4 linked regions of the Astyanax mexicanus genome follow. The protein of the gene in region 3 binds, or shares a complex with, the protein of the main gene of each other region. Links are inferred from orthologs where the notes say so. Each region holds a gene or a part of one and is shown on either strand. Other genes may lie near its edges. The genes, in order: taf1a, polr1e, polr1b and polr1f.

Evidence for each region.
Region 1: polr1b (region 3) and taf1a share a complex: the UniProt entries of both Homo sapiens proteins name them as parts of the pol I pre-initiation complex. The link is inferred for Astyanax mexicanus from reciprocal best matches to the Homo sapiens genes POLR1B and TAF1A.
Region 2: the proteins of polr1b (region 3) and polr1e are in contact, whole or in part, in a cryo-EM structure (PDB 8A43), measured with the Homo sapiens proteins. The link is inferred for Astyanax mexicanus from reciprocal best matches to the Homo sapiens genes POLR1B and POLR1E. Residues at the interface, in NP_061887.2 of Homo sapiens: Lys254, Ser258, Phe259, Ser260, Tyr262, Gln263, Gln266, Ser295, Thr296, Gln297, Ser338, Thr340, Glu341, Ala532, Cys535, Pro541, Ile542, Asp543, Gly544; in NP_071935.1 of Homo sapiens: Gln27, Ser29, Asn30, Gly31, Tyr69, Thr76, Leu79, Lys80, Cys81, Leu84, Cys85, Met109, Gln110, Pro111, Leu112, Phe113.
Region 4: polr1b (region 3) and polr1f share a complex: the UniProt entries of both Homo sapiens proteins name them as parts of the RNA polymerase I (Pol I) complex. The link is inferred for Astyanax mexicanus from reciprocal best matches to the Homo sapiens genes POLR1B and POLR1F.

What each region holds. Positions count from the first base shown.
Region 1 is NC_064408.1:54,374,638-54,382,910, reverse strand, and holds the start of taf1a (TATA box-binding protein-associated factor RNA polymerase I subunit A), read right to left. Parts: upstream 3,325-8,273; 5' UTR 3,141-3,324; coding exon 3,008-3,140; intron 1,799-3,007; coding exon 1,635-1,798; intron 450-1,634; coding exon 336-449; intron 135-335; coding exon 1-134. Other genes in the region: mia3 (transport and Golgi organization protein 1 homolog), read left to right, coding at 7,981-8,101. UniProt on the Homo sapiens protein: Component of the transcription factor SL1/TIF-IB complex, which is involved in the assembly of the PIC (pre-initiation complex) during RNA polymerase I-dependent transcription.
Region 2 is NC_064432.1:23,894,192-23,901,923, forward strand, and holds the start of polr1e (DNA-directed RNA polymerase I subunit RPA49), read right to left. Parts: upstream 3,167-7,732; 5' UTR 3,119-3,166; coding exon 3,058-3,118; intron 2,100-3,057; coding exon 1,996-2,099; intron 1,897-1,995; coding exon 1,820-1,896; intron 1,595-1,819; coding exon 1,509-1,594; intron 1,260-1,508; coding exon 1,207-1,259; intron 292-1,206; coding exon 147-291; intron 1-146. Other genes in the region: tmem192 (transmembrane protein 192), read left to right, coding at 3,964-3,993, 5,603-5,755, 6,119-6,380, 7,109-7,246. UniProt on the Homo sapiens protein: Component of RNA polymerase I (Pol I), a DNA-dependent RNA polymerase which synthesizes ribosomal RNA precursors using the four ribonucleoside triphosphates as substrates.
Region 3 is NC_064414.1:41,430,900-41,438,871, reverse strand, and holds the start of polr1b (DNA-directed RNA polymerase I subunit RPA2), read right to left. Parts: upstream 3,513-7,972; 5' UTR 3,457-3,512; coding exon 3,280-3,456; intron 1,835-3,279; coding exon 1,667-1,834; intron 1,473-1,666; coding exon 1,326-1,472; intron 1,238-1,325; coding exon 1,105-1,237; intron 1,004-1,104; coding exon 867-1,003; intron 365-866; coding exon 141-364; intron 1-140. Other genes in the region: lysophosphatidylserine lipase ABHD12, read left to right, coding at 4,816-4,904, 5,529-5,650, 5,756-5,855. UniProt on the Homo sapiens protein: Catalytic core component of RNA polymerase I (Pol I), a DNA-dependent RNA polymerase which synthesizes ribosomal RNA precursors using the four ribonucleoside triphosphates as substrates.
Region 4 is NC_064410.1:2,913,078-2,921,208, forward strand, and holds polr1f (DNA-directed RNA polymerase I subunit RPA43), read right to left. Parts: upstream 3,333-8,131; 5' UTR 3,263-3,332; coding exon 2,985-3,262; intron 2,267-2,984; coding exon 2,125-2,266; intron 1,806-2,124; coding exon 1,597-1,805; intron 916-1,596; coding exon 435-915; 3' UTR 291-434; downstream 1-290. Other genes in the region: transmembrane protein 196, read right to left, coding at 7,631-7,699. UniProt on the Homo sapiens protein: Component of RNA polymerase I (Pol I), a DNA-dependent RNA polymerase which synthesizes ribosomal RNA precursors using the four ribonucleoside triphosphates as substrates.

The sequences.
Region 1 (8,273 bases), on a different chromosome or scaffold from region 3:
TGGATAAGCTTTAAATCCAGAGACTGGGGCACAGACTGCTTGCCATACCTCCAGCTTGCCGCAACAGACAACTGACGTTTAGCATCGTAAATGTGACCATTCAACAGAAGGTGAAAAGAGTGCTCCAAACAGATCTATCAACAAACAAATAATGCCATTATCTCTGTGCATAAAAATATTATTTATTGTAACAGAGAATTTAAAATAATGATTTAAATATATCAAATAATTTTACAAATGATAATTACTTATATTTATCTTAAGATTTACCTCTGGGTTTAAATTAAAAGAAAAAAAGCAAACCAAAATCCAAATAGATGTTTAAATAATAATACCTTAGCATAATTTTTCACTCCAGAGTTTTTCATCTGTTCATACAAAGCATTAAAATCTTCCAATCGAGAGTTTGGATGATGCTGAAGAATCTCTGTGCCTAGTCTCCAAATAATCTGAGGATTAAAGAAAACACTTGAAACTGTAAACAATGGTGTCATTTAAACAAACAATTCAAAACATCAGTTGGTATGTCATTGTTTCAGCACAAAGTCCCACTTTGTACCTGTATTTTACAGAGCATCAGTTAACACTAGTACAATATCCTTAATTACTGCACAGTTATGAGATTGCCTTTTATAAACATTGGGATATAAATTTGCAAGAAAAAGTATGTGAACTCTTTGGGATTACATGGATTTTTGCATAAATTGATCATTAAATGTGTTCTAATATTCATCAGTCACAACAATAGACAAACACAATCTGCTTAAACTAATACCACAAAAAAGATATATGTTTGCCTGATTTCATTAAACACAACATGTTAACAAATTATGTGAACCTCTAGGCTAATGACTTTTCTAAGAGCTAATTGGAACCAGGATGTGATGAGATTGGTGATTGTGTTGGTTAAAGCTGCCCTGCCCTAAAAAACATACACCAGTTTTGAGTTTGCTGTTCTTAAAAAGCATTGATTGTGAATCATACCTCGCACAAAAGAGCTCTCAGGAGACCCACGTTCAAGAATTGTTGACTTGCATGTAGCTGGAAAGAGTTACAAAAGTATCTCTAAAAGCCTTTGATGTTCATGTGTCCACGGTAAAACAGACACTCTAAAAATGGAGAAAGTTCAGCACTGTTGCGACTCTCGCTAGACGTGGTCGTCCTGTAAAGATGACTGCAAGAGCACAGCGCAGAATGATCAATGAGGTGAGGAAGAATACTAGAGTGTCAGCTAAAGACGTACAGAAATCTCTGGCACATGCTAACATTTTAGTTGGCTTCAACGGAAAAAAAAAATCCTTCTGGAGAATCCTGACCTTAACCCAGTTGAGATGCTGTAGCATGACCTCAAGAGAGCGATTCACACCAGAAATCCCTAGAATATTGCTGAACAGAAACAGTTTTGTGAAGATAAATGATCCAAAATTCCTCCTGACCGTTGTGAAGGTCTGCTCTGCAACTACAGGAAATGTTTGGTTGATGTTTTTGCTGCCAAAGGAGGGTCAACCAGTTATTCAATAAAACCATGCAAACATATGTGATACTAGTTTAAGCAGACTGTGTTTGTCTATTGTTGTGACATTTAATTACCAATTTACGCAGAAATCCAAGTAATCTCAAAGAGAATTGCTTACCTCACAGGCTAGTGACTGCTTGTTGACTGTGGTATCTTCCAGTGTCTGAGAGTAAGCAGACAAGTACTGTGCTGCCTCTTGCCAATGATGGTGCAGCATAGCGTCTCTTATGGCCTTCAGACATAGTCTTGAAGATTCGTGAAAACCACTTTCTTTAGCCCTTGCTAAAATGAAATAATTATTGTAAGTGGAAAATACAAATAAGTAATGTCTGCAATCAAGTGTATGTACCCTTTCACCTACAAGCATAGCCTGAGGCACATACATTAACAAGCTCAATGCTGCCTTTGTGTTGGAAATCTCAAAAACGCATACACAAATTCATATTCACTGGTTGGAAACTTGGATTTTCCAATGGGCACATAAAAATATATTTTTAATAATTTTCCCTTATTTACAGGAAAATGAACATATAAGACAGATTCCTCTCACTGGATAAAACATTGCTCACCTAATGTTCAAACTAAATATGCTAAATACATACTACCTAAGTATGCATAGGATTTTTCCCAAAGGCATTCACGTTTCCAATCTAAAATATTGAATTAAATTTCCTTCCCCAGCCCCAGTCACCAGTGTGCACTTTAATGAAGGATTTGAAAAAACATTGAGTTTCTGTTATTAAACTTACAGAAATTGGATGAGCCTAATATTTCAATGTTTTACTTAGATTTTCTGCCCACCCAACTTATTATACAATTTATATCTGTAAAGATTTTCAACTGGAATTTTAGTGTTCCCTTACATTTTTTTAGACAGTATAAGTAACACGTCCATAATGTAATTCTGACTAGTCAGGTTACCACTGACTAACAAGTAATCTCACATTCTTTGCTCTATAATTATATTTAACTAGTTAAAACATTAAAGTTTCAAAGATCTACAATTTTCTAGTAAAATAATGTAGTACTAGTTCCACACATCTACACTGTTATTCTTACCAGGAAATAATAATATTATTACTAATCGAAACCTGAACTGTAGATGTCAATACCTGAGTTGAATTACAGTGTATATAGGCTACCTGGAATTACAATTTCATTCAATTTCAATTAACTTAAGAGCATCTAACTGGTAAAATGTAACTGTAGATAAAAAAGTGAAATTCCGTGTAAATCAGGGATATCATATGACTAGTCAGAATTACACTCAGGATGTGTTCCTGACAGTATGAGTAGTGAGAATGATTTTATAGAGCTGTAGATCTGATATTATTACTGGTAAATATTGTATTGCTGATCACTGCAAGGGGCGTTTTTTTCTAGTCAAATCTGATGTGTAATTTGAGTTTTTACCAGTTAAAACTGAATATGAAGTGTTTTTTATTGTGGTGCAGCAGCTGAGATTAGTGTATTTTTATTAAGATACATTACCCTGAGCGGTGGAGGAGTGCAGTAGAATAGGCGGTCTGATCTTCCTGGCAACTCTTTCATCCTCTGAAGAGTCTGAAAAGTCTTCATTTCCTACTGATCGAGAAATACCGAGCTCTGCTTCGATATCATCCATAACCGACAGACTCACAATAGACAGTCCTGTATGTTCAGTGTTCTCAGTTCTCTCTCTGGTGAGAGGGGCTGTGTGGTAAGAGCTCGTACAGGGGCTCTGCTGCTGTGGAGTTATCTGAGTGTGGCCTCTCTCTCTATCTACAGCGCGTCTCCCGCTCGTATGAAACTCACGTGCTCTTTGTTTTTCTACAGACTAACTGCAGGTTCACCGCATGGTTTCAGCGCATACCGCCATCTACCGTCGGAGAGGAACCAGAGCGTCTACCCACCTCCTGCCTCCTCCTCAGAGCACTGCTGCACTCCGCTAGAGGGAGTCCGCGACTGAGTCCTCAGTGAATGGAGCTACACTCATTAGTAACTAATCCAGGGTGTTACATCAATTCTGGGAAGTAGAATAAAGTCATTTAAAGAAAAATTAATGAACTAAATGAAGGTTTTTGAGTGGTCTAGTCAATGTCCGATTGAGATGCTGTGTCATGATCTTAAACAAGATGTTTATGCTCAAAAATCCTCCAATATGGTGGAATTAAAACATTTCTGTAAAGAGGAGTGGACCAAAATTCCTCCACAGAGCAGAGATGTGAAAGACTGGTTGCCAGTTATCGGTAAAGCTTGATTGCAGTTGTTGCTGCCAAGGGTGGCACAACCAAGTTATTAGGTTTAGGGGGCCAAACACTTTTTCACAAGGGGGCCTGCATTGTGCTCACCTAGAATGGCACACAGACATTATATGTTGGTCATTCTTGTTAAAGAAAGAGTAAAAGTGTAGCCACTGTGCTCTTCTCTAATAGCAGGTGATCATCACTGAAAACTGTATACTGCTATATATTGCTGTATACTGTAGATGCGGCTCAAACCGTACACATTCGTTCACCTGATGTCCGGTTGTCTTATGTAAATGAATGTGAGAAAAGTCTAGAAGTTCTGTTGTGTTTTCAAAAAATAGCAAATGGTATTCAGGCTGAGAACAGATAACATAACATGGCCAAGTTTCATATGTCTAGTTTTTTATTTATTTATTTCAGAATGACTTCAGATCAACTTTTTAAATACATTCTAAATTAGAATGGAATATTTGACTCATTTAGCTTAAAATTAGCAAACATTCTAATGAAACATTTGAATTTAAACATTTTAATTGCACACGACACGAGCATGCAGCACCAGAGATCTTGATTTCTATTTGCTGCTGTATAGAGGCTTCACTCATCACAGCAATGTTGGACACTAAGGCCTGTACTACTTGACATGGTAAATGATTTCTCACATAGACAGTCTAAGGGAAACAGAAAGAGATCATGTTTTATTTGTCAAGAAGCACACTTGCTGAAAAACTGAAAAATAAGCTATTTTTATGATAAGAAACACTCCTTCACAGACATGAATCACACACACACACACACACACACACACACATATATTTTAATTAGACATACACACATCATTTTGGTGGGGGTTAAAAAAATTAAGGTAAAATAATATTCTTAAAGGGTGACATTTTTGATATCATCTATGTGGTCCACAAAATATTTATTTCTGTCACAGCTGATAATCAATTGTTCCCATGCATTTTTACAGGATATTAATGCGGGTAATTCTTGACCACCATTGGGGCGATAATACAAAAGACTTAGTAGATTTTAGTAAAATGTATAAAAGGTAAGTTAAAATGAATGTGGCATGATTCCAGTAATATATTATTTAAGGAATATCTGAAATATGAAATGAGAACTTCTCATTTTGAAGATATTGCAAGAAAGATGTTTGGGTAATTTTTGACTTACTATGCATCTAAGGATTAAATTGATTGTGGATCGTTTATACAATATAACTGTTCACACAAGCTGGTGAGCTCCAATTAATTAAAATATAAGTGAAAAAAAAACAATGTATGACTATAATTATGCAATTTTGTGCATTTCTTTAATCAGTTTTATTTATGGCTTAGATAAGATCACACTTCAGGTTCAGATGAATTCCTTTTAGAGAAGATAGATAAGCAGCTGTAAACCTGTAGAAATACACACCAAGCCTATGTACACAATGTGCCATTTCTCACACTTCCTGAAAACAGTGAGAACTTGGATTATATTAACTGGTTGTGCAGTATTTTATATTCAATTTTCAGGAATTATGAAAATATCCATTATACCTTATATAGGGAGTAATTGTGACCACATTTAAAACCCCAAATAAGAAAAATGTCTTACATTTTTATCTTTATGTTTTTTTGTTCATTTGATTTATTATTGTTCATTAATTCTTGAGTAACAGCCCTGAAACACATTTCAGCAAAATATTCCAAAAGGACAGTAAAGCATTTCCCACTTTGTAATCTTACCATTGTTTATCACAGGACTTTATGAAGATATTTAGGCACAGAGGATATCAAGTGATTAAGTGTTTCGGGTGTTATTTTGTCTCATTCTTCATCTAAAGATGTGCAACAGTACAGGGATATCTACCAGGAACAGATCAGGACTGCAGGCAGGCCAGTTCGGTACCAGTACCTTCTTTTGCAACGGCCTGGAAAAGTTGTGGTCCTAAAGGCAGCATATGTAGCTCTGAGATCTCAATGTTCTTTACTGCATTGATGGTTGATTGGTGGATCATTCTCAGCTCTGCAGTGACACTGGCATGGTGGTTGTGTGTTATTAGTTTGTGTTGTGCTGGTACAACTGAATCAGACAACTTTTAAACATATCCTGTGGCCAGCCTCCATTAGAAAGTGTCCGGTACCCACTGAACTACAGAACTAAAGAATGATCAACACAAACTGTGCAGCAGATGAGTCTCTTTGACTTTATATTTACAGTGTGGAGCAGCAATAGGTAGGAGTGTCTATGGCATACACTGGGCACGCTTTGTTTAAACCATGCTGGAGCACGATTATCCCCCCTCCCCACTACCGTGCTGGCCTTTGCTCATGTTCACCCCACATGGTGTGTGGGGTGGGCAGTTATGAGACCCTGGGGTTAGCAGGGCCTAGATAAAATCTGGATGACAGGATACAGTTCAGTTTGAGCTCTCAGATTTTTTTTTTCCATTTTATTTACCAATGTACAAAAAACTAAATCACTTTCTCAATTAACTTTGGGGTTGCTTCTTGCATAACAACTATCTAATCTGGAGCTGCGAATATCAAACAAACTTCAGCCTTGTTATCTATAGGTATATATTTGAGTAAAATAAACATTGTGATTTTATTCTAGAAACTACTGATGACATTTCTCCCAAATTCCAAATAAAAACATTGTATATTTAAAATATAAAAAATAATACATTTGCAGAAAATAAGAAAAGGTCAAATTAACAAAATAGGTGCAGTGCTTTCAAACTTAAATAATGCAAACAAAAAAAGTTAATATATTTATTTAGAAACAACAATACAAAAGTAACTAAGAAAGAGTCTTTCAGTCTTTCAAACTGCTTTGCCACTTATGAGACTCCTGGCAAAAAATTCAAGCAGTTCAGCTTGATGGCTTGTGACCATCTACCTCTTGATTACATTCCATAGGTTTTCAATGGGGTTCAGGGCTGGAGATTGTGCTGGCCATGACACCATGATCTGGTGGTTCTTCATCCACACCCTAATTGATCTAGCTGTGTGGAATTGAGCATTGTCCTGATAGAAAAAGAAAAACATTCCCCAGAGTTGGGAACATTGGTAGAGTAGATAGAAGGAAGTTTTCTTCCAGGATAACCTTGTATGCAGCTTGATTCATGCGTCATTCGCAAAGACCAAACTGCCCAATTCCAGCCTTGCTGAAGCATCCCCAGATCATTGCAGATCACTGTCTCTTCTTTGCTTCTCTTTGAAGAAGTTCTTTTTTTGACTTGAGTCCAGTCTAAAACAGATAACAATAATTATTATTTAATTGGGAGCACGTTTCGGCTAAATCATTGTGAGTGGTGAAGAGCCTTAAACATAAAAACCTTTAAATGAACGTTGATTTAACAGATTAGAATATTTGTTCATTTTCACCCTGATATTACACACCTTAATCTTTAAAAAAAAATCAAGCATTATATAAAAAGCTTTCATTTATTGTAATAAAAGTGACTACAAATTATAATTGTAAATGTAACAGAAATTATTTTACAATTTATAAATAAATCTGCCCCTTTACAAATATAATGAATAATAATCATAACATTGGTACTTTCCTAAACTTCACTTTAAAATCAGTATTTTCCTGAATACAAATGAAACTTGTATTGTCCTCCAAACCTTTCGTTTTGTTACTGTTGTCTAGTTTTTATGTCTATTTTCAAACCTGCAGTAATTTGTTTGATTCCTGTTACTGATCTGATATTATTAAGTGGAGAAGAGAGTGGTCAGGCAGCTTCTTCAAGAAACCTGTAAGAGTCTTCAAAGCCCTCAAAGTTGTCAGAGTGTGAATAATCTTTTTTTTTTTTACTGCAGAAAGAAATAGTTTTGTATCACCTACACCTGTAGCCTGTATACGAGACAAGGCATGTTAAAAGGTTAATGTCAGAATTTTAATGCTAGCCAATAATGTCGTGTTAATGTTGTTTAAATGTCGTTTTTCCATCATCAACATACAAAATGTAATACAACCATACAATTATGCTTATTCAATGTTCTTTGTTGTTTGGTTTTCTTCTACAGAGTGTGGGGAAGTTCCTGTGAGTCTGTGTCTTTAAGTGTTCCCGGATCCTGTGTAACATGACTCCAGTCTTTTTTCTCCTGCTTGCCTGGAGCATCAGACTCGGTACAGACGCAGCAGCGGCTGCAGATCTGCTGACGTGTCGGCTCGGCTCGGCTCAGCGCTGTGCCCCCGCTCAGGCAGCCCGCTGCCCTATCCCAACCAGCCAACATGACAGCGCTGCTGTGGCGTTTTTACCCTTTTATACTGTTTTTCTGTGTGCGTTTTACACACGCCTCTCTGGAGCGGCGATTTTCCGACTTTAAGAGATGTGCGGACGACGAGTGCAGTAGTAAGTAATTAAAGGGGTCTGGTGTACTATGTACTACTGGGGCATGTACTATGTATTCAGCTGAACTACTGGATCATCCGGGTCCGCACGGTTAAAATCCAGCCCAGGGTTTGGGTTCAGCCCGCCGGGCGGACCAGTATCAGCCCGTCAGCTGGAGCAAAATCCTGTGCTG
Region 2 (7,732 bases), on a different chromosome or scaffold from region 3:
ATAGAACATCTTTGAGATGAATTAGAGTGGTGTCTCAGTGTCTGACCTAATACAAGTGCTTCTGGAAGAATGGTAAAAATTCCCATAAACACACTCCTAAACCTTGTGGAAAGCCTTCCCAGAAGTGAAGAAGTTGTGAAATTTACCCTCCAGTCCTTTCTGGTTGATGACGCTCCCGGCTGCTCGGTCCACCGCCTTCTGCAGCGTCTCGTTCCCGACCTCGTTCAGCCGCCGCAAGCTCAGAGCTCGCTTCTGCTTCGTCGTACCGAACGCCTCGATCAGAGCGTCCACCTGCAACCAACCAATATTGGGACACTTTTTACCTACAGAACCGTAAAGCCTGCTCTATTCTAAACCTTTATATGGAACCAATCCCCCTTTAAATCTCTATTCTAAACCTCCTGCCTGCAGGGAATCAGCCCTGTCCTTTTACTCTAGCACACTTTTTTCTCTTTCTTTTCTTTCTGTTTTCTCTATCTAAATCACGATTTTACATATTGGGTCCACCCCATGCCATGACATGCAGCCACTGCCGGTCGCAGCTGGTCTGAATCAGGACTGATTGAGCAGCCCGCTGTTCGATAGGTAGCACAACTCGACAGAAAACCGAAATACAGACTCAGCCCTCAGGTGACTACAGGTCGCTACAGGTGAGAGGAAGGCTAAGGCAGAACGGACCCTTAAAAGATTGAAAGTCACAAATTAAGAGACTAGAGCCCCACTGGGTCAGTGGAGTGACTGCCCGGTGCCTCCTGACTACCCATCACGGTGGCCACGCCCCCATCCCTTTTTAATCTAAAATATCTGAAAACGCTACTGATTTCTGAAGTGGTTCTCCATCTTACCTGATAACCGGCGCCTCCCACAGACTTAACATAACATATTAAAATATTTTTTAAACAGGACTGAGCTCGTACTTATATATATATATATATATATATATTTTTTTTTTTTTTTTTTTTTTTTAGGGTAAACATAGTTTTGAACCATTTCTTTGTCATTTGTTTTACATTTTTAGTAGGGGGTGAACAAAATAGATTATATTCGAAAATCGGATTTTTGGGGAAAAGATCATTTTTAGGCCATATTAAAGGCGTGGACCTGTTTTCCTCTGTAAAGCTGCTTTGTAACAACTTTTGTTGTAAAAAGCGCTATACATAAAAAAAATAATAATAAAAATGTAATTGAATTGCATTGTAGACTCACCTTGTCTCTGTAGGTCTTGGTCTCGTTTTTATCAGCGTCTGCTGCTGTTTCTCCTGAGAAAATGAAACAGTCCTGTTATTTTTCCAATCCAAATACTTTTCCTTCCTAATACTTAATGACATTTTCAATTATTCATTTGCCAATGATAAGATTAAAAAAAAAAAAAACATTTCAGCACTAAAAAAAAAACAAACTCTAAAGACTTTTAAATGGTCGAGCAAGCATCAGACAGTACACTCTCTCTCCCAGTGAAGATCATCTAAACACTACAGGTGTGTGTAAGGTGTTTGAGAGGTGTGTACCTGGTATACTGGGCAGCAAGTTGAAGAGTTGAGCATTATGAACCTTCATCTCCATCGTCCTTTTATCCAGCACTCCCACAAAATACCTACAGAATAAAAGTCCATTCAGTAACTTACCTAATTATATTACATATACTAGTGCATCTAAAAAAAAAAAATCACTTCATGCTTCCCTCTGCTGACAACATTTATGGAAATGCGGATTTCATTTTCCAGCAGGACTAGCCACGCTTTTAAAAAGTACCAATTGGTCTTATATAATATTCTAATTTTACTCTTAAACACATGTTTTAACCTTTAACTCCACCTACCTGCACAGATTGTTGCACTGTAAGGATCCGGGTCCGAAGTTATTCCCAACGTACGCCAGCCTGTCTGACTCTGCAGCCTAAACACACATACAGTACATATATATTTATATATTAATACAGCTGCGTGTGTGTGTGTGTTTAGTGCTGTAAATGAAATGTAGAATCTGTGTATTTACGATGATCCGGCGGCGCTTCTTCCTCGGGTTTGATTCGTCCACATGTTTAAAGAGTCTGAAGTCCAGCTGCTCAGAGTTCTTCACCTCTCCATTAGAGAACTTCACTGCAAACACAGAACAGAGAGGAGAACACAGAGTGGGAATTAAACTGTATTTAAAATAATGTAAAAATAGTTTAGCAGTTTAAATCATCACTGAATTACTAATGAGCTAAATAATCATTATTAAATGTAAACCATTATTATAAGATGATAAATCTGAAAAACATCCTATAATTAGGAGAAAGAATAATTGCAATACCTTTAAAATATGTATACAAATATGCAAAGCATGTTAATCAAACCTAGGAAAAAAATTTGAAAAATCAAGTGAAATTGTTATCAAATGACTCCATTAAATTCTTTTCTATACTATTAATGGTATAAGTATTGTCTGCTATTACTGTAGTGTTTTGGACTAATGTAAGGTCAAACTTATCTATTAATAATAAAATCTACTAAAATATCTATTTTCTTTTGCATAAACCAGATTTTGGAGTCTTACAAAACCAGCAAATCAAACTGTTATCAAATGATACCATTAAAGTCTCATGGACGCTTTTCTATGCTATTATTGGTTTAAGTTTCCTGTGATATTATTGTAGTATTTTGGAATAATTGGAGATCAAACTTAAGAAAAATATCTATTGGGTTTTGCATAAATCAGATTTTGGAGTCCTATAAAACCAGCCAATCAAACTGCAATCAAATGATACCATTAAAGTCTCATATATGCTTTTCTATAATATTAATGGTTTAAGTTTCCAGTGATATTATTGTAGTACTTTGGAGTAACAGCAGGTCAAACTTGGGAAAAAGGTCTAATCAATTAATATATTGTTTATGCTGATTCTGAACCGATACAGGAGCTACAGCTGCAGCACGTGGGTAAGAAACAGTAATAATAATCTGTTTATCTCAAACACAGAGCGTTCCTGCTGCAGATTAAAGCAGTAATAACTATAGTTAAAGTTTATATTAGAGATATATGAGTTTATAACAGAGATATGAGGGTTTAAATCACCGATCACTGCGTCCTCCTGCCCGCTCGTATTACACGCTGTCCACGCACAGGGCGCCGCCATGCTGTAGTGAGGGTTGCCAGGTCCAACAAAAATATCCAACCCAAAAGTCAGTCTAAAACCCGCCCTTCAGAAGCTTAAAACCAGCCCATAATATATGTCTGTCACACGTTTAAAGCAAAAGGCAAAACAACTATGAGTGAACGACTTAGTATTTTGTTTATAAGGGATTTATTACCAGTATTGCCATATATCTAAATAATAGTCATTAATTATATTGTGACATCAGTGTTGTATTAGTTATTTTATAACATGTTTTAAATATCATCATCAGTCATTTAATAGTAATATAATTAGCTAAAAACGGACTTTTAATTACTCTTTTCTGTATTCGCCCCTCCTGAACTCTCTTCTCTTCTCTTTAACATTTATTTTTTCATTGCCTTGTGATTTCTGGTTACATTGTACATTGTTTCTATTTCTAAATAGTAGAGTTTGGCTATGAACATTTATTAACTTGACTTTTTCCCTTTACTGTTTTCCAAAAATCTGATCTGAAAATTCTCAGTTAAATATGCTATTAAGAATTTGAATATATTTTTTTATTATTGTATATTAATAATATTATTATTAATGCTGTTTTGTTGTATGATAAGAATATATATATAGAAGAAACCATAAATATAAACGTGAATAGAAAAAAGGGCGTGGTAGTGGTAGTATTTTAAAGGACAAATTAGACGAAAAAGACTTTTAATTTGACGGGTGTCAGCAGCTCCCTGGTAGCGGAAGTAGAATGTGTGGTGTTTTGAAGCTGGTGTATAAATGTTGAGTAATAAACTGTTTATATGATTTTATTTGTAATTTAGTAGAGTTTAGAGAGTTTAATAAACTACAGCAGCTTTATTATGGGCTCTAAGCGACCCGCAGCTCCTCAGGTGAGATTTAAACCTGTGTGTTTGGGTTATTCTGGTGTAAATAATGCACTAACAACTAATTGTATTTATATTGTTTATATTGTTGTGTTTTTTATTATTTTTATTTATGGAGCGTTTTTTAATTGTGTTTAATAATAAAAGCAGAGTTTATTTTACATTTATATGCATATAACTTATATATTTAACAAACAAGCAGTTTATTGGCTCTGTATTTCATAGAGTGTGACTGTTGAGTTATTCAGTTGTTGAATCGTGTATTAATATAGTTAAATCAAGATTTTCTGCTATTTTAGCTGGTTTTAGATTGTTTGCATTGGGTTCTGTTGTGTTATATTGTGTTGCATTGTGTTATATTGTCATCTATTGGGGTTATTTTGGGTTCTGTTGGGTTATATTGTCTTTTATTGTGCTTATATTGAGGTATATTGTGTTTAGATCTATTGTGTTTATATTGAGTTATTTTGGGTTTCATTGTATTTATTTGGTTCTTTTGGGATATATTGTGAATATACTGGGATTTATTGGGTTTTATTGTGTTCTCTTGTTGTTATATTGTGTTTATATCGGGATCTATTGGGATATATTGTCTTTATATTGGGTAATATTGGATTCGATTGTGCTTGTATTCTGTTTATATTGGGTTATATTGTGTTATTCGGATGTATTGCATTCTGTTGCATTTATTGGCTTCTATTGTGATTATTTGGTTCTGTTGGGATATATTGTGTTTTTTGGATCTATTTGGCTAAATTGTGTTTATATTGTGTTTTCTTATTTATGTTGTGTTTGTATTGTTTTATAATGGGATATATTGGGTTACATTATTGTTGTATTGTGTTTATTTTGGGATCGGTTGGGTTATATAGTGTTTATATTTGGGTTTTTGGGTTATATTGTTACTATGTTCTATTGCGTTATATTGTGTTTTAAATTGGGTTCTATTGGATTCTGTTGTGTTTATGTTAAATTATGTTGGGTTATATTGGGTTCTACTTGGTTCCTTTAGAAAAAACGCCTCAGTATTGAATGTGGGCCAAGGTTATTCAGGGTTATTTAGGGTTATAACAATATGTTTTGTGCTGGACCCTGTTTACATGGAACAAATAGATCCTATTCTGTTTTTACCAAACTGTACATTTATATTAGTTTTGTCAAAAAGGTGTACTCTAAAGCCTGTAAAATTTATTTTGGTTTTGATTTGTTTTAATTAGTTTTTAGTCTCTGTCTGGTATTAAACAACCTTAAATGTAATAATTAAATTTCCCCATAACTGCAGATACCCTGTGTATGAGAGCAGGGCTCATAACGGCCTCTCCGTCTTTTTTATAGCTGATTGATACAGTTCTGTCACAATGGGGCCGTTGGTAAAGGTAAAGGTGAGGTGCTGCAGTAGCAGAGCTGTGGGATTGATCTGCTGGACAGTTCTCACTTTTGGGAATAAAGAGTCTGAACGATGATCATTCTCAGCTCTTTTAGAAGCTCCGACTGAAGTGTGGCACATCAAACAGCCTCCATCTAAACACTTCCTACTGCAGCCACACACTTTATACTCTCACTGATCTCCTGTCACTGATCTCCTGTCCTTATGTGTGTGTGTGTGTGTGTGCAGAGTAACCCCAGTACTGATTATACTCAGAGTATAGAGGATGACCCGCTGATGGACGGGCCGCTCATATCTCAGGATGCTCTGGAGTCGGCCATCAGGAGAGAGTTCCAGAAACTTCCCACAGCCTGGATCACCGGATTACTGACTGCAGCACACGTCAGTACACACACACACACACACACACACACACAAGTGTGATTTAAAAACCAGGGTTATTCCACCAAATATTTATTTCTGAACTCTTAAAACTTTATGAAAATGAACATGTTTTCTTTGCATTATTTGAGCCATTATTTAATTATTTCAGCCATTTCTCAGTTTCTGCAAATAAATGCTCTAAATGACAATATTTTTATTTGGAATTTGGGAGAAATGTTGTGCGTACTTTATGGAATAAAACAACAAAGTTCATTTTGTTCAAACATATACTCAAACATGAGACATTTATTCTGTGATAAGTAACCAGTTGTTGAATCTGTAAGTGTGTATGATGTGTGTGATCACTGTGTGTGTCCTCAGGTTGCGTATGTGAGCGTGAGCGTGGTGCTGGCGGTTCTGTGCTGGTTGGCGGAGGATCACTCGGAGCAGTGTAACGCAGTGCTGAACGGGGTGGACTCTCAGACCGTGGTGCTGCTGGGGAAGGTGGGGCTGTGGCTGCTGGTGTTCGGGTTCGAGTGGTGTGTGAACCACCACCACACTACAGCCAGGAGGAGAGGATACCTGCAGTTCTACAGAGCCAATCAGGACCTCAAACGCCTGCCCCTGTTCATACACTCTGCAGGTACTGACCCACACACTGCAAGATCCCAGAAATCCTCCAGGAGGCAGCATTTCCCATCACTCTCTTAATACACTGCATTTACACTCAGTTTAATACAGCACAGCTCTAATTCTGACCAATACACTTCATTTACACTCAGTTTAATACACTACAGCTCTAATTCTGACCAATACACTTCATTTACACTCAGTCTAATACAGTACAGCTTTAATTCTGACCAATGCACTTCATTTACACACAGTTTAATACAGTACAGCTCTAATTATGACCAATACACTGCATTTACACTCAGTTTAATACAGTACAGCTCTAATTCTGACCAATACACTTCATTTACACTCAGTCTAATACAGTACAGCTTTAATTCTGACCAATGCACTTCATTTACACACAGTTTAATACAGTACAGATCTAATTCTGAAAAATACACTTCATTTACACTCAGTTTAATACAGTACAGCTCTAATTCTGACCAATACACTTCATTTTCACTCAGTTTAGTTTAGTACAGTGAAGTAACATTCAGTTGAATCCAGTTTAATTTCAATTCATTTCAAATACAGTGCAGCCAAATCCAGTTTAATCCAGTTCAACTCCACTTAAGTTGAATACAGTTCAGCTCCATTCAGTTTAATGCTGTTAAACTCCTCCCTTTTCTCTGCTGTTCTCTTTATCTCTCCTTTCTTGTCCTTTATTACCCCTCGCTGTCTCTCTCGCTCTCTCCGCAGGTAATGCGGCGCTGCTGGTGGTGATTGGCCCCGCCCCCCTGCTGGACAAGAAAGTGAAGAATCTCTCTGTTTATCTCCTGCTGTGCATCATCTGTCTGGAGCTGCTCTTCACTCTCATATGCCTGATCGTATACACAGGTACATCCAGCAGCCCTGACTCACTCACTCGCTGCCTAAACACTCCCACTCCTTCCCTCACTCCATTCCTTCTTACACACTCTCACTTACTCCCTTCCTCACTACACACTCCCTCAATCTCCTCCTCCCTACACACTCCCTCACTCCCTTCCTCCTTATAGTCTCCCTTCCTCCCTACATATTCCTCCTTACAGACTCCCTTTATCCATACACACTTGCTCGCTCCCTTCCTCCCTACACACTCGCTCACTACCTTCCTCCCTACACACTCGCTCACTACCTTCCTCCCTACACACTCACTCACTACCTTCCTCCCTACACACTCACTCACTACCTTCTTCCCTACACACACTCACTACCTTCCTCCCTACACACTTGCTCGCTCCCTTCCTCCCTACACACTTGCTCACTACCTTCCTCCCTACACACTTACTCACTCACTCACTTTCTCTCTATGTACTCCCTTGCTCCCTACACACTCGTTCA
Region 3 (7,972 bases):
TATTGTTTATTATAAATTTAGATTTTTTTAAATATAACAATATGAAATATAATAAAGCATTTTAATGAAGTTCTTCGATTGCCAGTGTGGAATGTACACTGTCTACATGATGTTAGGACTGACTCCACATGAGCACTTACTCTAGAAGGAATTTAGCACACTGCTCGTTCGTGTACCACTCTGGCAAGTGGAGTTTGACCCGGAAACGCTCGCCCAGATAGTTCAGCACCTTCGCTCGGGTGGTGCAGCCCTCTTCCATCACCAAGCGCAGCATCTCAGACACACAGCTCTTATAGAAGGAGTTCTCCTCTTTGCCTTTTATCAACTCCTGATAGATCTGGTAGTCTGAAAAGTCCACCAGGGCCTAAGATCCACAGACGACAAAATAATAAATTATTAAAAACACATACTTTACTTTTTATACAAGACTAACATTCATAACAATAACAATTTACTAACATTTATATTGGAAAACCTTTTTAATTATCCTGCATGACACAATATTAATAACATTAATTGTATATACGAGACTGGAGTATAATAAATGATACTGGCAGATATCATCTGTCATGAAAAATACAATGTTAACAATGTGAATTTGAATTTGTATCAGTACTTTTATGACACGGCACATCGTCTATGTGTCTATTGCGCATGCCACATTTCAGTGACAATGCAGAAATTATATATTTTGCAGCCCTAATCTCATAATCATAAACTTAAACATAAACCATGATCATAAAACTGACCTAATTACAAGAGGCAATGATCATATTTACACAAGGAATCTGAGCAGTTTTGAAGAAAAACAAACATTAATTGAATTATTAAAATGTTAGAGGCCCTAGAGCTTAGCTATCATTTACCTTAAGAGCAAAACCAAGCGGAAGGAAGAAGAGCTCTTTGTGATAAATGAAGTTAAGCATGATCGTTCCATTGTCCAGGTAGTGAAGGTTCATGTTAATGGCTGTGTGCTCATCCTTCACACAGTGCACTGCAATACCTGAGAACACAGAACCCAGATTAGAAATTCAAGTAATAAACCAGCTTATTCTCCAGCCTCAGCTTGATCAATTTATTGAAATGTTATTAAAGAGCACCTACCGTATTGCGTGTATCCCTGCCCTCTGCTTTTAAACTTGGGTCTTGACAAAGCAATGGGAAAGTTTCTCCTTGGCATGATGAGCATTCGGATTACTTTCTCAATACCATTCACTATAAAATAGCCTCCCATTTCCTGCAGAACATCAAAAAGTTGATTAAATATACATTGTATTAATGTATTATTTTTTCTGTGGTTGGCAGATTTCAGAATTGTCTTGTACCTCTGCCTCTTCATGATGCTCGATAAGCTCTTTTGGGGAGAGGCCATGGAGGTTGCATAGCTTAGACTTCACCATGATGGGCACCTGGCCCAAAGACTGCTTTATAATTCCTTTAGGGACTCCATTCACTGACCAGCTGACGTCTGCCTACAAAGAAAAACAGAAAGGTGAGAAACAAGACATCATGTGGAGTCATGTGCTGAAATTCAATAATAAGTCATACTATAGCTGTTCAGCATACAATGTATTATTAAGGACAGTTTCGAAATATTTTAATGTCACTATTTACTGGATGTCCACCAAGAGTTAAAGTACAGAACAATGCAGGAAATTAAACCTACCACCAGTTTGCCTCTGTATGTACACCTCCTTCCTCTACATTCTGCAGGAAAGACACGAAGATCCTTACAGATCCCTCCTTTGGCTACAGTAGGATTGTGCACGGTGGCCTCCACAAACGCCAGGCTGATCCTGTCCCCCTTGTGCATGAACTCCATAGGAGGAATTGCCTGAGAATAAAGGAAATGAGGTATCCAGCATTTATTTGGCTCAGTACATGCAGCATTAAAACAACAGCCTTTTTAGATCCTGTCCAGACAACACCACCAAAACACACTGTACGTGACTGCTCAGTTACACTGTTATGCACAGTAAACCTGCTAGCTCAATAACAGAGAGTAATATTCAGACAGTAACTAATTTACTGCAACCAGATGTTAATCAGACTGGCATCCCCACCATACTAAAATGTGAACAATTCCAAACAACTACTGTCCTTCAATGTTTTTCTTTATTGAATGTATTTTGTACATTGTACAATAATATTAAAGACTTCAAAATATTTAAGGGACACACATGGAATTATGTAGCTTGTTGGTAAATTAAAAAGTTTTTTGTCTGCTACAATCCCCTTCCCCTAACCTAAACCCAACTAAGATGGGTGATTTGGGATGAGCTGGAGCTTCACAGTGTAAATGAAAAGCAGCAACTAATGTTCAGCACCTCCAGGAACTCCTTCAAGACAATGAAGAAACTATTCTAGGTAACTCTACTTCACAAAGACAGATTAAATTACCAAGAGTGTGCAGATCTGTCCTCAAAGCTAAATGTGACTACTTAGAAAAAATAACCCATAAGAATCAAGATACATTTCTAAATATTGATATCAATTTCAAAATCAGATGAATTCAGTGAGCAGTTAATGTTTTGGTTTCTTATTGCAGAGAAATGACTGTAAATATTTTAAGGTTAAAATCATGACGTAACATAAATAACAACAACATTTTCCTAAGAAAACAGACTAGTAGTAGTTATATGGGGCGTAAAACTTTCCTTAAAGGTTAACAAAAAAAATTCTGTACAAATTCTGTAAATGAATGTCCAGTATACAGTATATGTCACTTAGGGGTTTCATGAGTTAAAGTAAAGAAGAGAATGCTGTAAGAAAAAATTACACAGCTTACACAGCTTTTAAAGGATCTGTGACACATGTCACCATTGGCTCTTTTGGGCCAATATATATATATATATATATATATATATATATATATATATATATATATATATATATATATATATATATGTTTTATATATTATTATTATACAGGTTCTGTTTATAATGGTACTGCCATTCCTTTTCAATCCACCCATCACAAATGCACTATTGTCTTTTGTTCATGAATGTGAAAGAAAGAATCTGTGAGCTTGTTGTATTGTACCTATAGTGTCTCTGTACATATGCAGTATTGACAATAAAACTGCTTGACATGACTTGACATTTTAATGCCTAAAATGATAAATTCACAACGTAAAAAAATCATAAAACTAAGAAAACGCAGTGAAGGAGAAGAGGTATGTGCAGACTTTTGACTGGTACTGTATACACTGGTTTAATACAGGGAGAATAACAACAGGGGTGGCCCAGCTCCACGTGAGCACAGTGTGCTGAACCTACCTGAACCACTTGGGCCAGTCCATCACTGAGCGCCTGGTCGAAGGAGTCGATGTGCGCTTTGACCAGATCCTGCACGGCCGCCTGCTGCTGCTCCTTCGGGAGCCCGTAGCCGGGCTGTGTGAGAGGTTTGAGGCTGGGCGCAGCGGGTAAACTGCTCCACTTCGTGCTGTAGTCCATGCTGTCTCCTCCTCACGTGGGTCTGCTGCACAGGAACCCGGGCTGTTCACGCTGATCCGGTAACAGAGGCTACTGCTGCTGGTGCGTTTCAAAATAAAAGTCCTTGTTTTGTGTTGTATTAGAAAATATGTTATTATTTCAATATGAAAAGTATTAATAATTTAGCTTTAAGCTCCACATATCCCCATTTATTGTTTGACTCACTCTGGAGCTCATTCTAAATAAACAGAAATGTTTATGTGAGTATTTAACTCTCTATTATTATTTGACATTATCTGCTAACAAGGGTTACAGCGTTTTCAAAATAAAAGTCCCTAAAAATTCTATGATAGCTTTTCTGTATAAAAAGTATTAATCCTTTATATTTTTAACATGAAGCTCGGGAGATCACTCGGGACCGCCTTCTAACTCAAAATACATGTTTACGTAAGTATTCTCCTCTCTATTATTATTAGGGATTCACTGGTAACACGGGCTGTTGCGTTTCAAAATAAAAGTCCCCAAGCTGAATACGGAGAGGCTTCGATCGGATCTTCTTACACCCACTCCAGGTAAAGGTGTGTGTTTTAGTTAGGTAACTGGACTAAAGTAGGTAGAAGTACATTTCCAAAAGCGTACAGTAAGATTACAGTAAACAGCTGCATATCATTTATTTGTATGGCACTTTTATAGCAGCACAAGTGCAGCAGAAAAAGAACTGTAAAATAGAACTGAAAAAGTTGAAAAAACAACAACTGTTTAGGTATAAGTTATACGTCTGAATCGCATTGAATCCTGACTTGATGGCTTGCTGCCTGCACTAGACTAGGTGTAGTGATGAAGTTTTTGTGTCTGAATCAAAAGTCAAAAAAGAGTCCTTTCAGCTATTAATGGAAAAAGTAGGGTTTAGTGTTTAGTGTCTTTTTTCTTACTTTAGTATTCTTCATAATTTCTGTATTGTTACAGGCTAACCTTCCTTCCTATCCTGATTTTGTTGACGTCACTCTTCTTTACTGTCCAAGGATGGTTTACAACAAGATGTTGAAGTATGGTTGTGAGGATTTGGTTGCATTCAGAGATAAGAGATTTATAACCTCTAGCACACATTCAACATTCATTAGAAGGCGTGTCCTGAAACATCTGATCATATATAGCTCAGTACCTCTACTTGATGCCAGGTTCAGGGTAGTTGATTAACTGGAAGCTTGGTGTACGTAAACAACATCACCAGATGTATTAATTAAGGGGCAGAGTCCAGGGTTTGTGTAGGGCAGAGTGAAAGGTGGGTGTAGCTGAAGGAACACCATGCTGCCTGTCTGTTGTGTTTAAACATTGCTGGATATTTGTACAAAATTAACAGGAACCCACAGATTCTTACTCATGATGAGGAGAAGAGTTGATGGAGCTGCTGCTTCTGATAGCACTGAGGGAAAATCGGGGAAGGACAAAGCTGTGAAAGTGAGAGCAAGGTTAGTATCACTTGTAAGTGAAGCCTGATGGTGTGTGCCAGATAGATGGGACATTCCATTTACAAAGTGTCTAATATGTGTGAACCAGGACTGTCTTAGAAGGCATCACCACCCACATTGGACAGTGCAATTACTCAGGTTTCATGGCACAACATGACAAAAGTCATGGAACATGATAATATTTCCTGTCCTATGACAACTACCATGTTTAGCATGTCCGCATATAACTCAGAAGTGAAGTTTGATCTCTTTATATCTGTTAATAAACTTGAAAATAAATTAAACATGATCTTCTTTCTACGTTTGCTATGATGGACTAGACGGACTAATCTGTTGCCGTTATGATCTGAGTATTACCCAATTAAATCCCAGATTATGCTGCTTGCCATCAGTAGCCGGAGTCTGGTGGGTTGATGGCGCTCTCCTCTCACATTACTCCTAGTGTAATGTCAGTCAGCACAGGTGGCTGTTAGCTGTTGTATCAGAGCTTGGTTGTCTTCTAATCAAGAGAGAAAATAGGATAGATTTTGTGATATTTTATTCAATTTAAGCCTATACTGCTCCATAAGATCTCAATAAATGTTGAGTAGTTTGTATTTGTTTGTCCATCTCTTTCTTTTCAAGATCTTCATGGAGAGTGTGGATAAAATGGACGTTCCTGGTGCTCTGTGTTCTGTATGCGGCCCCACGGATTATACCTCGCCTCTTTCCTGCCTTTGTACAGCACATGGTTTATTCACATGCTAGTATGTTTTACACCTTCACTTATAATGAAAATAAAATGTCGTATGTGAAGTTTATTGCAGCCTTCAAATAAACACACATTATTATTTTTATTAATCCTTCCTCAGTATTGTGGTTCGTTGACCTGAGTCGTCCTGCTGACCTCGCTCTTAATCACACCATTAATATGTACCTGAGCTCTGAAGAGGGGATAACACTGGGCGTGTGGTCAGTTCAATGATCTCTGCATGTTATATGTTCACTTTGTCAATTAATTTTCTAATGTTCTGTATATTGGCCAGTTGTGTTTATTATGATGTTTTTCTGTAACTGTGTGTTAGGCACACTGTGCCTGAGCACAAGTGGAAGGAGGCTCAGGGGAAGGATCTGGAGTGGTATGAGAAGTCTTTGGGTGATGGGTCACCTGTTTTCATCTATCTACATGCAAATATGCATAACAGGTGGGCAGACCTATCTTTTAAATACATTTAGATCACCATGAATAATTAAACTATACACTTGGGGGCAGATTTTCAAACTGGGATTAAGCCTAATATTAGACAACAGAGTCTTTTGAATGAGAATTAAAAAAAGGAAATATAGGACTAGGCTTAATTTCCTAGAAACTGTCCCTATGTGTCCAAACATATGTGGACACCCCTTTTAGCGAATGCATTGCTACACAGATGTGTAAATGCACAGCTTGTCCAATCACTGCAGAGAAGTACTGCCAATAGAACAGAACTCTCTCAAGCAGATAAACATGAACCTATTGGCAATGTGCCTCATGCCAGGCATGGGGTGGAGGGTTATATTTCTCCCAGCACTGAGCTGTGGTTCTGGGAATGAGTTGGGGTGGGGAATATGTCGCAGATTGTTGCAAATCCTCACACAATGCAGCAATGTTCTAAAACCTAGTAGATAGATCTAGTCTTCTCTGGACTGTGGAGACAGTGGAACAAAATCAGGATAAACCTTTTTTTTCTAATACCCTTGTTTTTAGTAGAAATCACACTTGCAGAGTGATCTGTAATCAGCAAATGCTTACCATCACACATTCAAGTCTGTAGCACACATGAAATATAGATGATTTGTGATTCCAAATTATTTGTATTTCTATTCATTAAAATTCATAAGTTATATGAGGTGCTGTTTCTGTTGATTGTCCTTTTTTTGTATTTCCTTATAAAAGAGCCGCCCCCCATCGGATAGGAGTTGCCAACGTGAGTAGCTCCTCTGTCATCACTGTTAGAAATCTAAACCATGTGATGCTGTAATGCTAATGATGTGTCCTGCTGATGGATTATCTGGTGTTACAGCTCCTGAGTTCTCTGGGTTATCATGCAGTTGTTATGGACTACAGAGGTTAGTTAAAATAAAAAAATATCTATATGCTAAAAATATTTTAAATAGTTTCTCTGTAAACACTTTTTCTCTTTTAGGATTTGGAGACTCCACTGGTGAGCCCACAGAAAATGGACTGATCACTGACTCCCTCTACCTGTATCACTGGGTAAAGGTCCGCAGTAAAGACAGTCTGGTGATCATATGGGGACACTCAATAGGCACACTGTGAGTATGTGTTGATGTTTTAAAATAACAGTTTCTTGTATTTTTACTAATATAGGCCTAAAACACATTCTAAAAACAGTTGTCATCTGACTACAATACACATTTTCACTGTGTGATGATCCATCCCAGTTGATGTCACTTCTGGAGATAGTTACCATAAGGCTTCTGTTTTGCACAGTACAGTTTTAAAGGGTATTTGAGAATGTACCTCTGTACTGTAGAGCTTGATAAATTATTGTAATTTAACCTCTTACCCATGTCTATAAGCTATTGCTTAAGGGCGGTTCTTAATGTAGTTTGATCTGAGGGATTGGAATTTACAGGTGTTCAGTTTGAGCCTGTGCTCTTACCCTTTTCACTCTGAAATTCCTTTCTATTATATACTGTGGATAGAAAAATATGCAAACCCTGTTCAATTTGTCTTTGAGAAATATAGTTTTTTTTTTAATTATCTTACTAATATTGAGTTTTACAATATTTGCTAAAAGCAAAGCTACATACAGGGGAACAGTATAAGCTGTACACATACAAGCGTAATATAAGATATAAGTAAAGTATAAGAACACCTTTTCTTTAGTGTCAATTCTAAACTCAAAAGGGACGAAACATAATAGGATGTCTGCCCTTTTTTTAATTGACTTTTTTTGACAGAATACACTGTAGTTTGATAAATTTATTATGAGAACTGTGTTTTAATCACTTTCTAATGGATTTGTTACTGGAGATCGTCTCGTTGCATCTCAAACACTCTTTTTTTGTGGATACTGCATCAC
Region 4 (8,131 bases), on a different chromosome or scaffold from region 3:
GGATTAATTAAATTATTATTTATTAAAGTGTACGACTGAGAATAAGCGAGAGTAAGATTGATGTTGGAGTAAGAAGGTTTTTGTTCATTATGTTTAAAAAAAAAAAAAACTGCAGTGCACAACTTGAGTTTGTGTAATTATAAATAGCAGCATTTATTGTGTATTATTAAAATACTTAAATAAAAAGCTAATTTAAAGTCTAAATTCTGAAGCAACATTCGTCCACACATCCATTCAGTATTTCCTTACTGACCTCTATTGGTGAATAGGTGGAACTACACGTTACCAAGTGATATTATTTGCTTTATTATTTACCTTAGATTATTACACAATAATACAAACAATCTTGGCACTTTTGGAGGCACTTTTTATGCAAAAAAAAAAAAAAAAAAAAAAGAAAGGAAGTGAGGACAGTCACAGTGTAAAAGCACTTATCATTTAATCTTTTTCTTTTTCACTGAAGGCATGCTGGAGTCTTCATGAAGACCCTCACTCTCCTGTGCTTTCCTCTTGCGTTTACTCTTGTCGCTTAAATATCCGCTGGAGTCGCTGTTTAGGAGCTCAGTGTTTAAAGGCATTTCTTCATCTGCCTCGTGCCTTTTATCTTTCTTCTTCTTTTTCTTCTTCTCTTTCTCCTTCTCTTGTGAAGGGCCGTCAGAATCAGGTTTTACCTTTATTCCGTTGCTGTTAAAATCAAGTGTCTCCATCTCAGCCACCTGGTTGCCGTTGTCCTCCATTGTCTCCGAGTCTAGTTCTTTGTTCTTTTTCTTCTTCTTCTTCTTTTTGGGCTTCGAGGAGTCCATGTCCTCTGTGCCTTCGTCTTTAGGAGCTGATTCTGGTTCAGCTGCTGCTTCTTCGGTTGTTCTCTGTTCCTCCATTTCTGTACTGCTGACTGCAGCAACAAGCTCATTCACCCTGAAAAAACACCATTTTTTTTTTTTTAAACCCTGTACACTGCAGACACACAATGTCTATGTGTTGATGTGCACATACAGCTCTTTAAAAAATTAAGAGACCACTTCAGTTTCTGAATCAGTTTCTCTGATTTTGTTATTTATAGGTTTATGTTTGAGTAAAATGAACATCGTTGTTTTATTCTATAAACTACAGACAACATTTCTCCCAAATTCCAAATAAAAATATTATCATTTAGAGCATTTATTTACAGAAAATGAGAAATGGCTGAAATAACAAAAAAGATGCAGAGCTTTCAGAACTCAAATAATGCAAAGAAAAAAAAAAGGATTACATTCATTAAGTTTTAAGAGTTCAGAAATCAATATTTGGTGGCTCCTCCACCAGTCTTACACACTGCTTTTGGATAACCTTATGCTTTACGCTCCTGATGCAAAAATTCAACCAGTTCAGTTTGGTGGTTTGATGGCTTGTGATCATCCATCTTCCTCTTGATTATATTCTAGAGATTTTCAATTTGGTGAAATCAAAGGAACTCTAAGTGGTCTCTTATTTTTTCCCCCAGAGCTGTGCATAATCCATAAATTTAATGGCATTTGGGATAAATATGCTGACTGAAGTCTCACAAACTTTTTTTATAAAACATGATAACCAGTTTTATACTTTTAAAGCTCATCATACCTGTATTTTTCCAGTCTTCCTCTGATCAGAAGGACGCCAGCCACATCAGCGTCCAGCTGAAACACTTCAAACTCCAGATGGTCTCCAACCTTAAACCCAGAGTCTCTCCATTGCTCCGGGGTCAGAAGATGTGGCTTCATTACACAGGCGTTAAAGCAGCCGTGCACCAGACAGCCCACGTGACCCACCGCCATTTTATTTATCACACCCTAGTAAAAAAAACAACGACAAATTAATACTTTTTAAGACCTCAATAATTACAATTTAAGACCCAAACATCTAGTCATAATTTCTCTGGTTTTCCAACTAATTAGTTCTCTTCGTTCTCTCTTAGCTAGCTTGCTGCTATTGTTAGCTAGATCTCTGGTAATGTTAGCTAACTCTCCACTAACTTTAGTTCTCTCAACGGTAAGGTTAGCTAACTTGCCACTAATGTTAGCTAGCTCTCTGCTAACATTATTTCTTTCTCAGGTAACCTTAGCTAATTCGTCGCAATTGTTAGCTAGTGCTTGATGCTAAATTATTTACCACAAGCTTATCTCCTTTCTTTGGTTTGAAGACGACAAACGAGGCCTCGATGTTTAGGTGGATGAAACCTTGGTCGTCGAATATGTCCCCGTATTGTCCTACGATTTTGATGTGATCATACGCCAATGGCACACCTATCAAACTGAGAAGAGAAACATGCATTTTATAAAGGCCTAAACAACAACAACAACAATAATCACTGAATAAACTAGTCTTACTTCTTAATAACAAAATATTGATCAACTTCACTTCTTGTCAGTGTGATGGTTTCTCTATTGTTAATAGGGGAAAAAAATGAACCACCTGAGAGCAAATCTTTGAGTTATTTTTATTTTTAAGTACCTGTTACAATATACAATATATATATATATATATATATATATATATATATATATATATATATATTTTGTAAGTATATTTTTACTTTTGCTTCTTCTATATTTCGGCATATATCGCTAGGATTTTATTCCAATACATTCTAAGAAATACCTAACTTTTTGGTTACTGTCATAGGGTAAAAAAAATATTCTAGCTAATTATCGGCTCCACCTTAAATGGTGAAGCCAGAGGCGCCAGACGGTAGCTGCTGCTGGAGAATTAATGTATCTATCTGAACTGACCTGCTGAAGTATTTAAGGTGGAACAAAACAGTTAAAGTATCTTACCTGACTGTAACTGACCTGATTCAGTATTTAAAGTGGAACGGAACAGTTAAGCTATCTTCTTTCCCTGAGACTTACCTGCTGGAGTATTTAAGGTGGAACGGAACAGTTAGAGTATCATATCTCGCTGGGACTGACCTGCAAGAGTTTTTAAGGTGGAACAGAACAATTAATCTATCTTATCTCGCTGGGACTGACCTGCTGGAGTATTTGAGCAGTTCTGAGTTCAGCTCCTCCTGGATGCCGGTCTTTTTCCTCTTGATGAAGGCGGGCGGCAGGACGACGTGTCTGCGGTGCGACTCCAGGACCAGGCAGGAGTAGGGCGCCTGCACCAGCGCACAGGCCGCCGCGAACGACGGCAGCAGGCTGGCTGAGACCGGGGCGTCCCTGCCCGCGGCCGGGAACAGCGCGGCGGAACCTCCGGCGGGCTCGGAGACCTGATTCCGATCCTCATCCAACTTTTTAGAGTTCGCCATGAGAATCGCAGGAGGAGCACGTGGTGCGGGTCTTCTGCAGGGGAAAACTGAGCGCTGCTGGGTTTGGGTTCGGGGTCTGTACCGCCCCCTACTGTCCCGGAGCAGGAGGCGTTTAACCCACAGTGATCGAGAAGGGTAATGTTGCACAAATATATATAATGTGTATTTATATACAGAATATACAGCTCTGGAAAAAAATATCTTGATTTTACCAAATTATAATCCTCTAGAATATAATCAAGAGGAAGATGGATGATCACAAGCCATCAAACCAAACTGAACTGCTTGAATTTTTGCACCAGGAGTAAAGGCATAAAGTTATCCAAAAGCAGTGTGTAAGACTGGTGGAGGAGAACATGCCAAGATGCATGAAAGCTGTGATTAAAAACCAGGGTTATTCCACTAAATATTGATTTCTGAACTCTGAAATCTTTATGAATATGAACTTTTGAGGTCTAAAAGCTCTGCATTTCTTATTTTCATCAAATAAATGCTCTAAATTACAATATTTTATTTGGGTGAAATATTGTCGGTAGTTTATAGAATAAAACAACAATGTTCATTTTACTCAGAGAAACTGATTCAGAAACTGAAGTGGTCTTATAATTCCTTCCAGAGCTGTATGTGTATGAATGTACATATAAATATAAAATTAATTCATTTATACACTTATTAATATGCCTTACCATATGTCTGTCTTTGTTAAAGAGCATAATACAAAGTATTTTAGCATAAAAGCACATATCCCTTTTAATAAGATGTTAGATGATAAGGGTTTCTAGACACGGCCGAGATGTTCAATTGTGCAACAGAGATCAATTGTTGCATAGGCCAATCAAAAGTGTGAAGTACCTGTCTGTCATTTTGTGCATCAGCCAATTGTTTAAAGCAATTTGTAAAACGGCATTAAGTATTTTTATGTACACGCAAACATCAGTTGTTTTAAATATCATAATTATGTATTATATCGACTAATTGGCAAACATAAGTAAACTGACAAACAGGGTCATAAATGAGCTAGATAAATAAAATAATCCAAAATCCTACAGTAATCCTACTGTTGGACAGTTCAATTACTGTAGGTCTCTGACTATCTGACCTTCTGGTCTATAACCTGCCTATAACCTGTGAAGTTGTTTATAACCTGTGTGACTCTGAAAGCACTCTGCTGGCTTCCTGTTGCAGCAGGATCAATATCAAACTCATGCTCTTTGTTTGCAAAGCCTCTAAGGGCTCATTCTTGTTCTTCCTCTGAACCATGGTTCAGAACAACAGACCACCAGCATGTTTTTCTCTGGGTTATAGGCCTCTTGTTTACTCTGCGGTGATACAAACTCCCAAACCTGCCTATTTGTTTGGGTTTAAAAGAGTTCTTTAGGAACATATAGTGATTTTATATAGAAACAAGAAACAAATGGTGGTGGTAAAAAAAAAATATCATGAATAGCCTATAAAAATGGTTATGTACATTCATTATCAAAGAAATAAGTGCCACATTGCAATGCAATACATAAAAAAATCTGAATAGACTGATATGGGCAATTCTTGGCCATATATATACAGCTCTGAAAAAAAGAGACCACTTAAAAATGATGAGTTTCTTTGATTTTACCAAATTGAAAACTTCTGGAATATAATCAAGCGGAAGATGGATGATCACAAGCCATCAAACCATCAAACTGAACTGAACTGCTTGAATTTTTGCACCAGGAGTAAAGCAGCATAAAGTTATCCACAAGCAGTGTGTAAGACTGGTGGAGGAGAACATGATGCCAAGATGCATGAAAACTGTGATTAAAAACCACCAAATATTAATTTCTGAACTCTTAAAACTTTATGGATATGAACTTGATTGCATTATTTCTTTGAAGCTCTGCATCTTTTTTGTTATTTAGGATTTCTCATTTTCTGCAAATAAAGGGTTTAAATGACAATATTTTTATTTGGAATTTGGGAGAAATGTTGTCCGTAGTCCGTATAAAATGAATAAAATCATAAAATTGGCTCTAATATTTAATATTTTCCTGAATACAAATCAAACAGTTCACGTCTTTCAAACCTTTTGTCTAGTTTTTATGTCTATTTTCAATCTCAATTCCTGTTGCTGATCTGGAATTATTAAGTGGAGTAGAGAGAAAGTGAACAGGCAGCTTCACCAAGTGTCTTGTAGGACATTTTTTTTTTTAATTCCCTTAAATTTTCAGAATGTCAATAAGTTATTTTACTGCAGAAAAAGGGTTTTGTCTCGCCTACACCTGTAGCCCTTATACAGGACAAGACATTTTAAGGGGTTAATAAGTAAAAAAAAAAACTACACCATCTGTGGCATCACTCCAACGCTTTTATGCATTTCTTTTTTAAATCCTTTCAGATGCTGTACCAACCTACCACTACTACTCCACCTTCTACTGTTTGCATGCTTTAGTAAGACACTCTGGATAAGAGCAGCATCCAGCAAATGACTCAACGTAAATGTAAGTATTGACCCTCTCAGCCATTAGTGTCAGACCTGATGTAGCCTTACAGGCACCAGTGAAGGTCAGGCAGGCTGGCGAGTGTACAGTGATCAGAGGGAGATAACACTGCGTGTGCGAGTGGACAGTACTGCACGGTGGCATGTTACGTGCTGACGAGTGATGACAGTAGAACCCTGTCAGCAGCGGCACCAGGCTGTTTCTGCTGTCGTGGTCCTGCAGTCCTGCGGTCCTGAACACACATATCAGTGAGCTGAGTTCAGCAGTCTTTGATGATGTGCAGGTCTGTTTCACATAAGAGCACACCACCTTCAGTGCTTGATTTTAAACAGTAAAGAAAAATATAAATGTGTAAAAAAAAAATCATATAGTTGCAACAGTTTAAAACAATTCCACCATTCCACCAAATCGGTGCCATTTCTGTCCCCAGGAATTTACATGTATAAATGTGCATACAAAATACTTTTAAAATACATTTTATTATTAAGCATATTGTCTTGTGCATTGACCTAATTAAAAAAGTAAAATATGTAATTAAAACAGTAATAAAACTACTTAGAACACTGTAAAAATAGCATTTGTAACCTTTCCTCACTCGATAATTATAAACTTTACCATGAAATTTAACTATTAAAATCCTTCAGAGATTGTTCTATGTGTCCAAATCCCATCTATACTTAAAAAAATATATATATTTTCCATCATAAATCCATAATATTTAAGTTAAAATACACATTTTAGTTATGTCCCTGGGTTTTTGCATCAAGAGTGACATAAGGTTATCCAAAAGCAGTGTGTAAGACTGGTGGAGGAGAACATGATGCCGACATGCATGAAAACTGTGTTTAAAAACCAGGGTTATTCCAACAAATTATGATTTATGATCTCTTAAAATGAATCTCTTATGAATATGAACTTGTTTTCTTTTCTGGACTTGTGTTATTTCAGCCATTTCTCATTTATTTCTGCAAATAAATGCTCTAAATATTTTTATTTTTGGAATTTGGGAGAAATGCTGTTCCAATGTAGTTTATAGAATAAAACAAGACATGTTCATTTTACTCAAATATATACCATATATACCAATATAAATAGCAAAATTAGAGAAACTGATTTAGAAACTGAAGTGGTCTCTTATTATTTATTTTTTTCAGAGCTGTACAGCTGTACACACTTTTTACTTTTTATTCTTACTTTAAGATTTTGATTGCAGATTTTATTTTGATTTTTTTGCATAAAATCTTTTGGCACAAAATTCACTCCATACCTTAGCTTTAGCTTAAGTCACTGTATCCCACAGTAACCACTACAGGAGGGTCTGTTTCAGTCATTTTTATTTCGTTTTCATATGAAGCCTCTATATAAAAATACTGTAAATCAACAATTTATCCCTTATATAAGCATTTTACATTGTGCATTTTGTATGTTTGAGGTCAGAGCATTCAATATGCCATAACATTTCAGCATTACAATTTCAGCATCGACATTCCAAAAACCTCTCACCAGGGATTAATGGAGAGATGCAGGATGAATGCAGTAAGGAGGAGGAGGAGGGAGCGCAGGAGCGAGAGAGAGAGAGAGATAAAGAGAAAGTAAAGGATTATGCATGCTCATTTTGTGCTCATTTTGGTACGATGCTCTATGCATGTCATCAATATGCTACACTTCGTAATGACCTCCCCTCAGGTCATCGGGTAACTGAATGCTGATTGGCTGTCAGTCCAGGAGAGGCGATCTCTTTTTGCCACAGTAGTGTTACCTGACCCAGAGTCTGTAGTCTTCGGGGAGAGCTGCAAAGCATCCTACTGACAGCCCTCAGCCCCGGAGCGTCAGCACCACTTAGCGCACAGAGACGGTCCTGAAACCAGATCAAAACTGCGAAGACCCCCGACTGTCACGGCGATGCGCTGCGTCCGTTGTACGCGATCTGAGGAATGCCGTTACTGGAGTTATCGAGCATCTCCTGGTACGAGAGAAAGAGAAAGAGAGAGATTTACAAAGATTAGCAGTTCCTAATCAATTCCTCATCAAGATATCTGCATTAATTAATACTTTTAAAATCAAATTATGTTGTATATATTGCCGTTTTACACTAAAACTTTTAAAACTTCAAATGGTTCTTGGAGTGACATCATAAAATAAGCACTTTTGGGTTCATAAAGAGCCATGCTCCGGTGATCCGGTATAACACTGCTCTAGTTCAGTGAAGGAGTGTGCGTTGGGGGAGATACGATAGGATTTCGGCTCATGCTCATGAATATTCATACATGCAAACATATCGACTCCGCTATGTCATATGTTAATCCACAACATGCGTAATAATGCCCTGCTAAGTGCAGTTCAGCCACTGACCTATAGTCTTAGAGTCTCTGTAAAACACCAAATCCACCGGAGA